Ovis aries: one gene and its partner. The protein of the gene in region 2 binds, or shares a complex with, the protein of the main gene of each other region. Links are inferred from orthologs where the notes say so. Each region holds a gene or a part of one and is shown on either strand. Other genes may lie near its edges.

Region 1 (5,460 bases), on a different chromosome or scaffold from region 2:
ATTCGGTAAGGCTCATTTTCAAGCTCTTTGGAGTATGTCCTCTCCACCTCCAAGCATCTGACACAATGTTTTTGCTCATAGCAAATATCCAAAGGTCAACTTAGAAAAGTACATCTATGATATGCACCAGGCTGCCCTGGTGGCTCAGAGGTAAAGAATCTGTCTGCAATGCAGGAGATGCAAGAGATGCGGGTTTGATCCCTGGGTCGGGAAGATCCCCTGGGGTAGGGAATGGCAAACCATTCCAGTATGTTTGCCTGGGAAATCCCACGGACAGAGAAGCCTGGTGGGCCACATACAGTCCACCGGGGTAGTAAGGGTCGGACACGACTTATCGACTACAACACCACCACCACCTCCACCACCTCCTGAAAAGCAAGGTTGTCATCTATTCCAAGTTTTTACGAATATTAGGAATGGAGGCTAGGAGAAACAGAAAGATAGTGAAGGGGAGAGAGAAACACAGACTTCAATTCCAGTTCTCAAGTGTCCAAGGTAAGAATTTTAACACTAGGATTAAGCTGGGCTCAGCATTGTTCTAGCTGCTTCACAATATGGCCTCTATCTTAAATTTTCTATTTCTTACAGCCTAGATCCAACCAGTCCATTCTAAAGATCAGTACTGGGTGTTCTTTGGAAGGAATGATGCTAAAGCTGAAACTCCAGTACTTTGGCCACCTCATGCGAAGAGTTGACTCGTTGGAAAAGACTCTGATGCTGGGAGGGATTGGGGGCAAGAGGAAAAGGGGACGGCAGAGGATGAGATGACTGGATGGCATCACCGACTCGATGGACATGAGTTTGAGTGAACTCCGAGAGTTGGTGATGGACAGGAGGCCTGGCGTGCTGCGATTCATGGGGTCGCAAGGAGTCGGACACGACTGAGCGACTGAACTAGAACTAGCACATAATAGGTTTTCAGTTAAGATTAAAGAGAACGAAAAAAAGAGAAGTGCAGCTGAAAGTAAAACAAGACTACCACCTGTTATTCTATGAAATAGTATGGGTTGGTGTTTTAGATACGTGGACTTGCAGCTCAAACCAGTTCTGTCATTTACAAAGTAAAAACCATAAATCATACATCTCTCCACCTCGCTTTTATCATTTGTAAAATGGTATAATAGGACTGATCTCGGGATTAAATGAGTTAATACCTGCAAAGTTTGGAACAGTGTCAATAATACTTGGGACAGTGTCATTCTTCCTAATGCATGTTTGATTTCCTTAACTAAAATCTCCCAAAGGCATCTGCGCTTGTCTCAGCCCGGCGCTCAATTCAACACTCAGTATCTGCGCATCTTGCCCTGGAAACCGACGTAGAAACCTGCGAAAGCAGAGAAAAGGCCCCGGGTCCGCGGCCCCCACCCGGACGACGCTGCCGCTCCGTTAAATTGAGCAAAGTCCTCTGGGAAGTGTAGTCTTTAAGACTTAAGAAGGAATTCAGCCACGAGCCGAAATCAGTTAGTCGGTGGCTGGATGGAGGGAGAGTGAAAGGGGAGGATTTTCGGATAACTCAAAAGTGTCGGGAGCCCCAGGGTTGTGTTAAGACGCTCACCTGAGTCTCCCAAAACCAGTACCTTCACTCGATCCAGGGACGCCATCTTGTCATCGCCTTCCTGAGGTTAACGCCTACTCCAGGATTATAGGCCAATCAGAGCTGGGTTTGAAAGGCAGTGCCTTCAATGTTATTGGCCAATAGGAGCGTGACTCTTGATTGAAGGCCTCACTGTGCCGATTGGCCCTCCTAGTTGAAAGTAGCGGGTGGTTTCTAAAGCTGGTCGCAGGAATAAAGCGTTTTCTTTGACGCACAAGTGGCGTGGCTCGGATAAGCCGGTAGTTGAGGCGCTGAGGGAAGCTGTAGTGGGAGTGTTCGAGGATTCGCTTTGGTAAACCTTGTTCCCTGTTTCTCGGTTTCCTGGCCAGGCGCCGCCTCTTAGGGTGCCTTCTCTTTTTCGCTCCTTTCTTGGCTATCCTCCTCCCCCTTAGCTACTCTCTTGATTCGATTCTCTTCTTGGTCTTCCAAAGAACCAGTGACCGCGGAGCGGCCCATGTGCGACCTCGGGTAGGACGGGCTTGACTGCGCCGAGTGTGTCCTCAGCTGATAGAGTCCTAGGGAATTTAGGGTGTCGGGGTGTCACAGTGGGAGGAGGAGAACGTTACCTGGCGCGTGGAGGCCAACTGATCCGGAGGTTTCGCGGTATTGTGCCACTTTATGTACGAAGGCATGGAGAGTACCGTGAAATGTGGCAACCGAGAAAGCCAGTTGGGTGTGTAAATCCAAGTTTTTCTGGAACTGGAATAGAAGTAAACTGAAATAATCTGACAGGACTCCCTACATCCACTCCTTCCATTTTTTCTTTTACACGCTGCAGTCAGCATAAGCCCTTAAAAACACGAATTTGATGCTGTCGCCTCCTGTTTAAAACCATTTGAAGTTTAAGAAGAGGATTTCCAATACCCTGTCTTTTTCTACTCTGGAAGCCGCAGTAAAGGAAGTGAATTGAGGGGAAGCTGGGTAGGCATATTTGAAGAACAGGTGCTTAGCCGACCTATTGAAAGTTTTGTGGGGCACTTGACCAGCTGTGGCACATGCTGGAAAGTCAGTGGTGGACAAGATCAAGCCCCTGGTCTCCGAGGTAGATATGGAGAAAGTATGTTCACTATATTCTGTTCACTGTAAAAAAATGAGGGGAGAGAACTGTGGGAACTTGGGAAAGGGGGCTCATTTAATCTACTAAGGGGAACCTGAGACGGTGTCTCTGAGGAAATGTCATTCAACATGTGAAGGATTGTTAGGAGAAGGGACTTTGGGCTTAGCTGTGGGGGCATAGAGAACAGCATGTGCAAAGGCCTGGACGTGGGGAACGCGTGTATGGCTGGTGGAATTGGAGAATGCCTGGAAATGAGACTGAGGAGGATAGACCAAGTGCGAAGAGTGCATTCATTTCATCTTTGTTTCTCCACCTCTGTGCCCAGTGTTTGTATGATTGTAATACATATGGTTCAAAAACAGAACCAACTTACCTTTGGGGCTCTGGGCTGGGTAGGGTCATAGGTGAGGCTGAGAGGTAACTGATGAACTCTGAGGCTAAAAAAAGAGAAGCATGGGCTGGTCCCCAGAGGTCACACACTCAGAAGTCAACAGAGGCCAATCCAACTCCTTCCCTGTTTAGAAGTGTCAACTGCTCTTTGTTTCTATGTGGGAACATGGTCACATTTTCCCCCTCAGATGTTTCCAATTTTCAAGACTCTGAAAATTGAAATCTCATGATTTTTAATTGTTGACCAGTAATTCAGAAAATTTTCAAAACGTTCTTTGAATCAAGTGATGTGGTAGATGTTGCCAGTTTGAGACCTCTGACCTCAGTATTATGATATCCAGAGATTGAGGAGATTCAGTATAATTAGGTGAGTAGAGGCGACTTAGCAGGAGCAGAGGCAGTTAGGGGAGAACACATGGTCAGGAAGGAGGATTTTAGAATGTAGAGATTTTGAACAAGGTGATTCTTTGCTGAGCTCCAGTTTCATTTGTCCAGTTACCTCCTGGGTATCTTCACAGTAATATCCTGTGGTATTTCCTCAAAGACAAGCAGCTAACACTGATTGCTTCATTTCTTCCAAATCTGTTTCTCTTCAGGTGGTAATGTACTTCTCATAGTAGTACTTTTTTCTTCCAGTTACAGTGGCTTAAAATGAATAGCTGTATTTTATTGTTTAATAGGTATAATGTTTCAGTTTTACAGGATGAAAAGAGTTTGGAAGTGGTTGGTGATGATAGGTGGATAACATCAAGAATGTATTTAACATTACTGAACTATTACTTAAAAATGCTTAACTGGTAACTTTTGTTATGTATATTTTATCGCTATTAAAAAACTGGGGGGAAAACCCCAAATAGCTATTAAAAATTTTAAAAATACTCGATTTCCAGTATATTATTGGAATATATTATTGGGGCCTTTTGATTTTGTTTCTCTAATAAGTTTCATTCATCCTGTCCTCTGGTAATTTCTTCTCTTCTGTAGTATAAGTCTGATGACTATAGCTTTTAATATCAGTACTTCCATATGAATTGTCTCATTTAATCTCACACATCAATGCTATGAGGAAGGCACTGTTAATCTGATGAAATGGAGGCTGAGAATTTTCCAGGGTCATAGGCTAAGAAATGGTGGAACTGGGATTCAAAGCCTAAATCTATTGGAGTCCTCATGTCACTCCCTTTTTCAAATCTTTAGTGCACCCTGTGATGTTTCAGGCAAAAGTAACAGACTGAATGATAAGTAGTACAGGGTTCTTCCTATGTGCGATGTGCTTTAGTGGCGGTGTGTAGTAGCCAGGTACCCAGTTTGTTGGTGGCAGTAGTCACGGACTTATTCTGTATATTTGTCACCTAAGGAGCTTTAAAAAAAATCAGTATGATGCTTAATCTGGCCCTCCCAGACCAGCTAAAACAATCTCTGGGAATGGGTCCAGAGTGGATATTTTTAAATGCTCCCTGGGTGATTTGGCTTTACAGCCAGGGTTGAGCGTTGTTGGCCTGGAAATGGAGTATATGGGGTAGAAGGTCAGGGAGGGGAATACAATAGTAGGAAATAATACTAGAAAAATAGGTTATCTTCATATTTGTCTGAGATCCTTTGGTCTGTTTCTGAAACCACATACTATGTTCTGCCAGTTGTTGAGCATGTAAAACATAACCCCCAAAAGTAGGTTCAAGTACAACATATAGACCAAATTGGAAAGGAGAACAAAATACGTCTCTTAGTATATTATGATACTGCTTTGGTGTGGGCCCAGACACTTGCTTGGTCTCCTTAAGCCTTGGAATGACAGAAAGCCTCAAGGACCACAAGTTTGAATCTAGGTGCTACTTTGTTATCTCTTATATTTATTCATGCCTGAGTATTTATAATCCAAAATAAATATTATAACTATTCCCTTTTATTTTTCCTTTATTACAGGTCAGGTATTATATCCCTTCCCCTGTATGTGTATGTTATTGGCTATTTAGAAATACCTTTATAGTACTGTGGATATAAATATATTTCTTATAAAAAGGTATTAAATCTAATAAGGTTAATAACTACTGATTTTAAATAAAAGGGTCAGGAGAAACTAGTATTAATAACAGTATGATTCCCTGTTGAAACAGTTCAATAGGATGTCTGTTAGAAATTTTCTTGTAGTGTAGGGACACATTAAATTGATATTCAAGCACTTTGTTAACAAGTGCTTTCTAAGCACGTTGGACTTTCCTGGTGGCTCAGATGGTAAAGCATCTGCCTACAATGCGGGAGACCCAGGTTTGATCCCTGGGTCGGGAAGATCCGCTGGAGAAGGAAATGGCAACCCACTCCAGTAATCTTGCCTGGAAAATCCCATGGACGGAGGAGCGTGGTAGGCTACAGTCCATGGGGTTGCAAAGAGTCGGACACGACTGAGTGACTTCACTTTTTT
Region 2 (5,360 bases):
AGCGCTTCTAGTATGCGCTGGAAGGGGAACTTGGAGGAAGGAGGTCTGAAACAGGGAAGTTGGCAGCCTTTGAGTAAATCTTGACCATTCTGAGCTGATTGCTGCAGAGGTTGTGGCTTGGTTTCTCAAGTGGGCCAGAGTTTTATCAGCATATATGGTCTAGCCACTGTTCATTTATAGGAATTCTCTCATTCATTAAGAAGGAAGCTAGCAGAATGGTAGAATCGATTCCATGAGTAAATTGAGACTTACTGGTAAATTGGTACTTACATAATCACTGGGGAAGGGATGAAATAAAAATAAATTTATACAAAACTGGCTTATGTTTCTCAGACAACGTAATTTTAAGGTTTGGAATTTTTTTTTCAGTGTATGACTGCTCCTCCTCATTACACCTTATCAATTTTTCCTGGGTTATAAAACCTTTGAGTCCCAATAAATTGTTATCCAAATGAAGTTATGTTTCCCGAGGGTGTCAAATGAATATCAAGTGTGTTTATTACAAAATCCTATAGAATGAAATCAATTTTAAAAAGCCATACAGGGACTTCCCTGGTTGCCTTCCAATGAGGGGGCCGTGGGTTCCATCCCTGGTAGGGGAACTAAGATCCCACAGGCTGCTGGGCAACTAACCCCTTGCACCACAACTAGAGCAGGAGCCTGCCTGTCACAATTAGGCCTCAGCATAGCCAAAATAAATAAAATAAAAACGTAAAAAAATACCCACACAACCATCTTTTGGCTTTATTCCCAAGTTTTGATTAAAAATTTTATGTATTATCTCATTCAGTCTTCACAACAATCCAATGAAAGTAACCCATTGTGGTAGTTCAATTATTATTCCCATTTCCCAGATGTGAAAACCAAAACACAAGTAACTTGAGTAACCAGCATTAAGTAAAGGACAGCAATAAAATAGTAGAGCACTGGCCATGCGGTCGCTTCAGGCTGCAGGAGTGAGGCAAGGCCAGCGCCACAATTTGGCATGGTCCAATACATTGCAGGCTGTGGACAAGGGCAGTTGTCTTTTTCGCCGCTTTATTTTTATTTTTACCCCTTTACGCTGCTGCTGAATCCCAAATCCTTTTCTAAGAGAGTTTACAGGGATGGGGGTTCGGAGTTCAGAAACCGGACTTTGCTTCAGAATTTGCCATTGCTGGCGGTGCTGTCTCGAGCCAGTCATTTATTTAGTTTCACTGCGTCTCCTGTTTCAGTTGTGTAGGGAGAGAGCTGGAACAATGTTCTCCGAATTTTAGGTGATGGTGAATAGCATTTAAAGTCGCACCATTTTAGCTGCGGCTACTCAACTCCAGGAGTTGGTGATGGACAGGGAGGCCTGGCGTGCTGCAGTCCATGGGGTCGCGCAGAGTCGGATACGGCTGAGGGACTGAACTGAACTGACTCAACTCCTAATTACGTCCCGCCCCCAATCGTCCTTCCGTTGTCATGGAGATCGGGACGCCCAAGTTGGTAGATTTCCCTCCCGCGATACCTGGGCGGAGCACGGGATGACGCATGCGCGTTCTTGGCGGCCGAGGCGCCGCGGTGCCTACCGGGACTGAGCTCCCGGCCACCCGATCAGGAAGTGGCGGGCGGAGCCGGGGGAAGAGTCGCCGCCTCAGCCGCCGCTTCAGCAGCAGCCGCCAGTGCGAAGACCCCCGAGCTGGCGGGGCAGCGCTGGGCATGCGTGCCGGGCGGCGGAGGCGCTGACAACGAGCCCGAAGCGGCAGCCACGCGGGCGTGGGCGGCTGGTCCAGGCGGAGGCTCTGGGAGGCGGCGGCGGGGCGCGTGGGGCGGCCCTCCTGGCTCAGGTAGGAGCTGCGGACGCCGGGTTTGGGGCGCGGAGCCCCAGCCTGTTGTTCTTCGGGGCCTCCTCCCATTCCCGGGGGCACGCGGCCTCCCATCCCGCGGGAAGCTGGGGCTGCGGTTCCCTGCCCGAAACGCTTAACCCGGTTACAGCCTCTCGGGAGCATTGTTTCTGAGGCCGGAGGTTCAGTGAGCAAAGTTTTGGGTTGGAAAGAGGGGAAATTCGAATTGGAGCGCTGGTCGTGCCTTTCCTGAGCCCCCAAACTTACATTAGCTGTAGCCGCACGGACCAGGTGTGTGGAGTTTGAGGAACCGCGGCGCCCAGCCAAGTAAAGGCTGTGATTTAGGCGCTCCTTCACGGATTTTTTTTTTTTTTTCCAGCTTCCTCTTGGAAACCTAGTTTGGAATGATTCCTAACCTTGAGTTATAATAGTTTTCTGCAGAGTCTAAAGACATTTTCCAAAACAAGTCGCTGCGGTACTTTTTTCACTTCCACTTCTACATTGCTGTCTTTTCAGGGTTAAGCAGTCTCTTATTCTCAGCTTGCCGGCTATTCAAAGCACTATTGGCCCCTGCGAGGCTCAGGCAGGCAAATGAAGCAAGAGAGAAAGAGTTGAAAGGTTGAAAGAAATCAAATGATAAACTGGATAAATGATAAAGTCAAATGATAATATGGGAGGAATGTGGGCTTTGCAGTTAAAAGATTTTCACTGAACTTTTGGCTTCTCAGTGAGGGAACACGTGAACTCACTGAGTTGTGGCAGTGATGTGTGTTTTAATGTAAAACGGGGAAGTTGATGTGTCCTGTTTACTACACAGGACATATGAAACTCTACAGATGCGGAGTAGTCTCATGAGAAAAAGGTGGAAAAGTTAGAGCATGTGATGGTGAAAGACATTAAACCTTCTGTTCTAGGGACCATTGAACTTCACCCATACCACGCAGGTCGCTTTTGTTTTGGAGGCTTTTACCAGTTTTAGGTCTGGAATAAGGAGCACCTGGTTTAGGAATCAATCTCCTGGCGTCCAGGCTGTGTACTTTCAGCTGTGTGATCTTAACTCTGTGTGATAGGATACATACCTGATACCTCATAGAGTTGTGAGGATCAAATGCTGTTAACATCCAGGTCTTTGTAAGGCTTTTATTATGTTAATAATAAATTACATAATAAACAACATAGATTTTATCTATGTTAAAATCGTGATTATAAAAGCCTGGGTTAATAATCTGTCTTTACAAAGTGAAATCAGCAGATGTTTGTTGTTTTAGGCTTGTTCCCCCCCCCTTCCCCCACCACATCATTGGGGAATTCTCCTTTCTTGTTCTAATACACTTTCCCTCCCCCAAGACTGTCTTCTGCCTTCCTCACCTGAGTATAACACTGGGTTATTTCTTTTCAGATCCAAATAATAGTTCTGAAATAACACGTTGGTCTAGCTTTACTACTTAAAAAATCACTTTCACAAACATGTTCTCATTTTATTCTTACAGTTGGGCTAGATGTAGACAGCATTGGTAGTATCCTCATTTTACTTATGATGAAATTGGATTTAGAGAAGTCTAGTGGATTCCCTAGGTCATATTACTGTTAGGGGTCAGAATTTAGGGAGGTCTTAGATTCGAGGTCCAGGGTCAGTGATTCTTCTTTCCTGAACTAAAGTTTGACAAGTTTATTTCTTATCAGTGCTTTTATAAAATTTTATTGAAGTATAGTTAATTTACAGTGTTTCTAATTTCTGCTGTATAGCAGAGTGGCTTAGTTAAACATATACTCTTTGTCATATTCTTTTCCATTATGGTTTATCACAGGATATTGGACATAGTTCCCTGTATTGTACAGTAGGACCTGTTTATCCATTCTGTATAATAGTTTGCATTGGCTAATCCCAAGCTCCCAACCCTTCTCTTCTCTCCTCCCCATCTTGCTTGACAACCACAAGCTTGTTCTCTACAATTGTGAGTCTGTTTTTGTTTTGTAGATGTGTTCCTTTATGTCATGTTTTAGATTCCACAAGTAATGAAATCATATGCTATTTGTCTCTTTCAGACTTAGTGTGATAATCTCTAGGTCCATCCATATTGTGCATATAGACTATTTCATTCTTTTTCATGACTGAGTGATATTCAGTGCTTACATTTTTAACTTTTAGCGTGCTAAGTCACGTTTTATTTATTCATTGCTTTTTAAGCAAGTTGTTGAGTGCTTTCACATTCTCAAATGTAAGCTGCTTACATGCAGGCAAGGATTTATCTTCCAAAACTTTCCAAAGGCTGCAGTGCGGTACAGTGCCCCGCAAACAGAAGACATTTAATAAAGGCTTGTAAAACTTATTAACAGAGAGGCTAGGGCAATTTAAAGATGTTCTTCTGTTTGTTAGTCATTTACAAAATACTTATTGAGCTATCCCATGCCGGAAAGCTTCCAAAGTCTGAGAGTCTCTCTTCTCTCACAGAAGGGTGTGTGGGGTCTGGCTACTTGTCGCTCAAAAGCTAGTAAGCAGGCCAGGTTGGTGGAAAGGAAAGTTTGCTTATTTGAAATAAAGCAGGCTGGGAGAGGGCATATGTCTGTCCAAAGGCCGATTCACTGTGCCGCCCCTCCCTGCCTCCCTCTCCCCCGCCATTGGTGGTGGGGCGAGAGCTTTTATAGATAGAAGAAGGGGGCTGTTGCAGAAACAGCACAGTCAGCTCTGACACTTATCTTCACTTTGGTCATCAGTGGTCTGACCAGCATCACCTTGGCTGCTTTAGGTACAGTTAATCTTCAGTTCCAGGGTCCATTTGTTCAGATTTCTCTGAGGCCAGTTCTCAGAATTGTGGCAGCTTCTGTTGTGGGTACAATCTGGTCATCATGTAGTAACTTCTCCCACCTGGGGTTTCAGTATCTTTAAGACAAGCTCACAGGATATGGCTCAGAATATTATCTGTAGTCATTGGGAAGGAACTAAAGGTCCTTGATTATGCTTAATGACTGCATTACTATTATTTAGTCTCCTTTGATTGTTTCCTCTTGTTTCTTCATTTCTCACTTCTCTGAGTAAATTCGGAACCTTTCCACAGACAGAAGACAGAGGACTTGATGGGGGCAAGGGCCATAGGGTCCTGCTCCGTTTCATTTCCTCTGAGACTTTGCTTATGAGCTTATGAACACTAGTCTAAATAGCATAGAAATCGTTTACATAGTCATTTCGTGTACTTCTGAGACTCTCCATAGCGTTCTAGGGAGAGTTCAGACAAGAGAGGAGTGTTTTAAAAATACTTGCTGGATAACCTGTGGTTTCTCTGGTTGTACTGAAGTTGCTCAGAATGTTGAATTTTAAAATGGAAAAAACCCCAAAGAGATCTATCTAGTCCCACCTCCTTCCAAAGCAGGAGTTTTCTGTAGATATTTCTTAACAAATATTAATTCAACCTCTTCATTATTTGTGATAGAGAGTCCACCAGTTTGAAAAGATGCTGCTGCTGCCAAGTCGCTTCAGTCGTGTCCGACTCTGTGCAACCCCATAGACGGCAGCCCACCAGACTCCTCTGTTCCTGGGATTCTCCAGGGACAATA

Evidence for each region.
Region 1: the proteins of GTF2E2 (region 2) and GTF2E1 are in contact, whole or in part, in a crystal structure (PDB 5GPY), measured with the Homo sapiens proteins. The link is inferred for Ovis aries from reciprocal best matches to the Homo sapiens genes GTF2E2 and GTF2E1. Residues at the interface, in NP_002086.1 of Homo sapiens: Asp159, Gln160, Arg161, Gly162, Leu163, Gly164, Gly165, Leu167, Leu190, Val192, Asn193, Arg194, Pro195, Ile200, Phe202, Cys208, Gln209, Phe210, Ser211, Val212, Asp213, Glu215, Phe216, Gln217, Leu219, Trp220, Arg221, Val223, Thr224, Val225; in NP_005504.2 of Homo sapiens: Arg16, Lys19, Tyr20, Val21, Arg23, Gly24, Phe25, Tyr26, Ile28, Glu29, Leu32, Arg39, Leu51, Leu52, Lys53, Phe54, Asp55, Gln58, Gly68, Asp69, Lys70, Phe71, Lys73, Thr98, Asn101, Val102, Val103, Lys104, Tyr105, Lys106.

The regions. Positions count from the first base shown.
Region 1 is NC_056054.1:186,276,818-186,282,277, forward strand, and holds the start of GTF2E1 (general transcription factor IIE subunit 1), read left to right. Parts: upstream 1-1,816; 5' UTR 1,817-2,048; coding exon of another isoform or gene 2,049-2,062; 5' UTR 2,063-2,241; coding exon of another isoform or gene 2,242-2,267; 5' UTR 2,268-2,589; coding exon 2,590-2,636; exon of another isoform or gene 2,637-4,829; coding exon of another isoform or gene 4,830-4,867; intron 4,868-5,460. Other genes in the region: RABL3 (rab-like protein 3), read right to left, coding at 1,556-1,601.
Region 2 is NC_056079.1:25,925,662-25,931,021, reverse strand, and holds the start of GTF2E2 (transcription initiation factor IIE subunit beta), read left to right. Parts: upstream 1-1,580; 5' UTR 1,581-1,811; intron 1,812-5,360. UniProt on the Homo sapiens protein: Recruits TFIIH to the initiation complex and stimulates the RNA polymerase II C-terminal domain kinase and DNA-dependent ATPase activities of TFIIH. Both TFIIH and TFIIE are required for promoter clearance by RNA polymerase.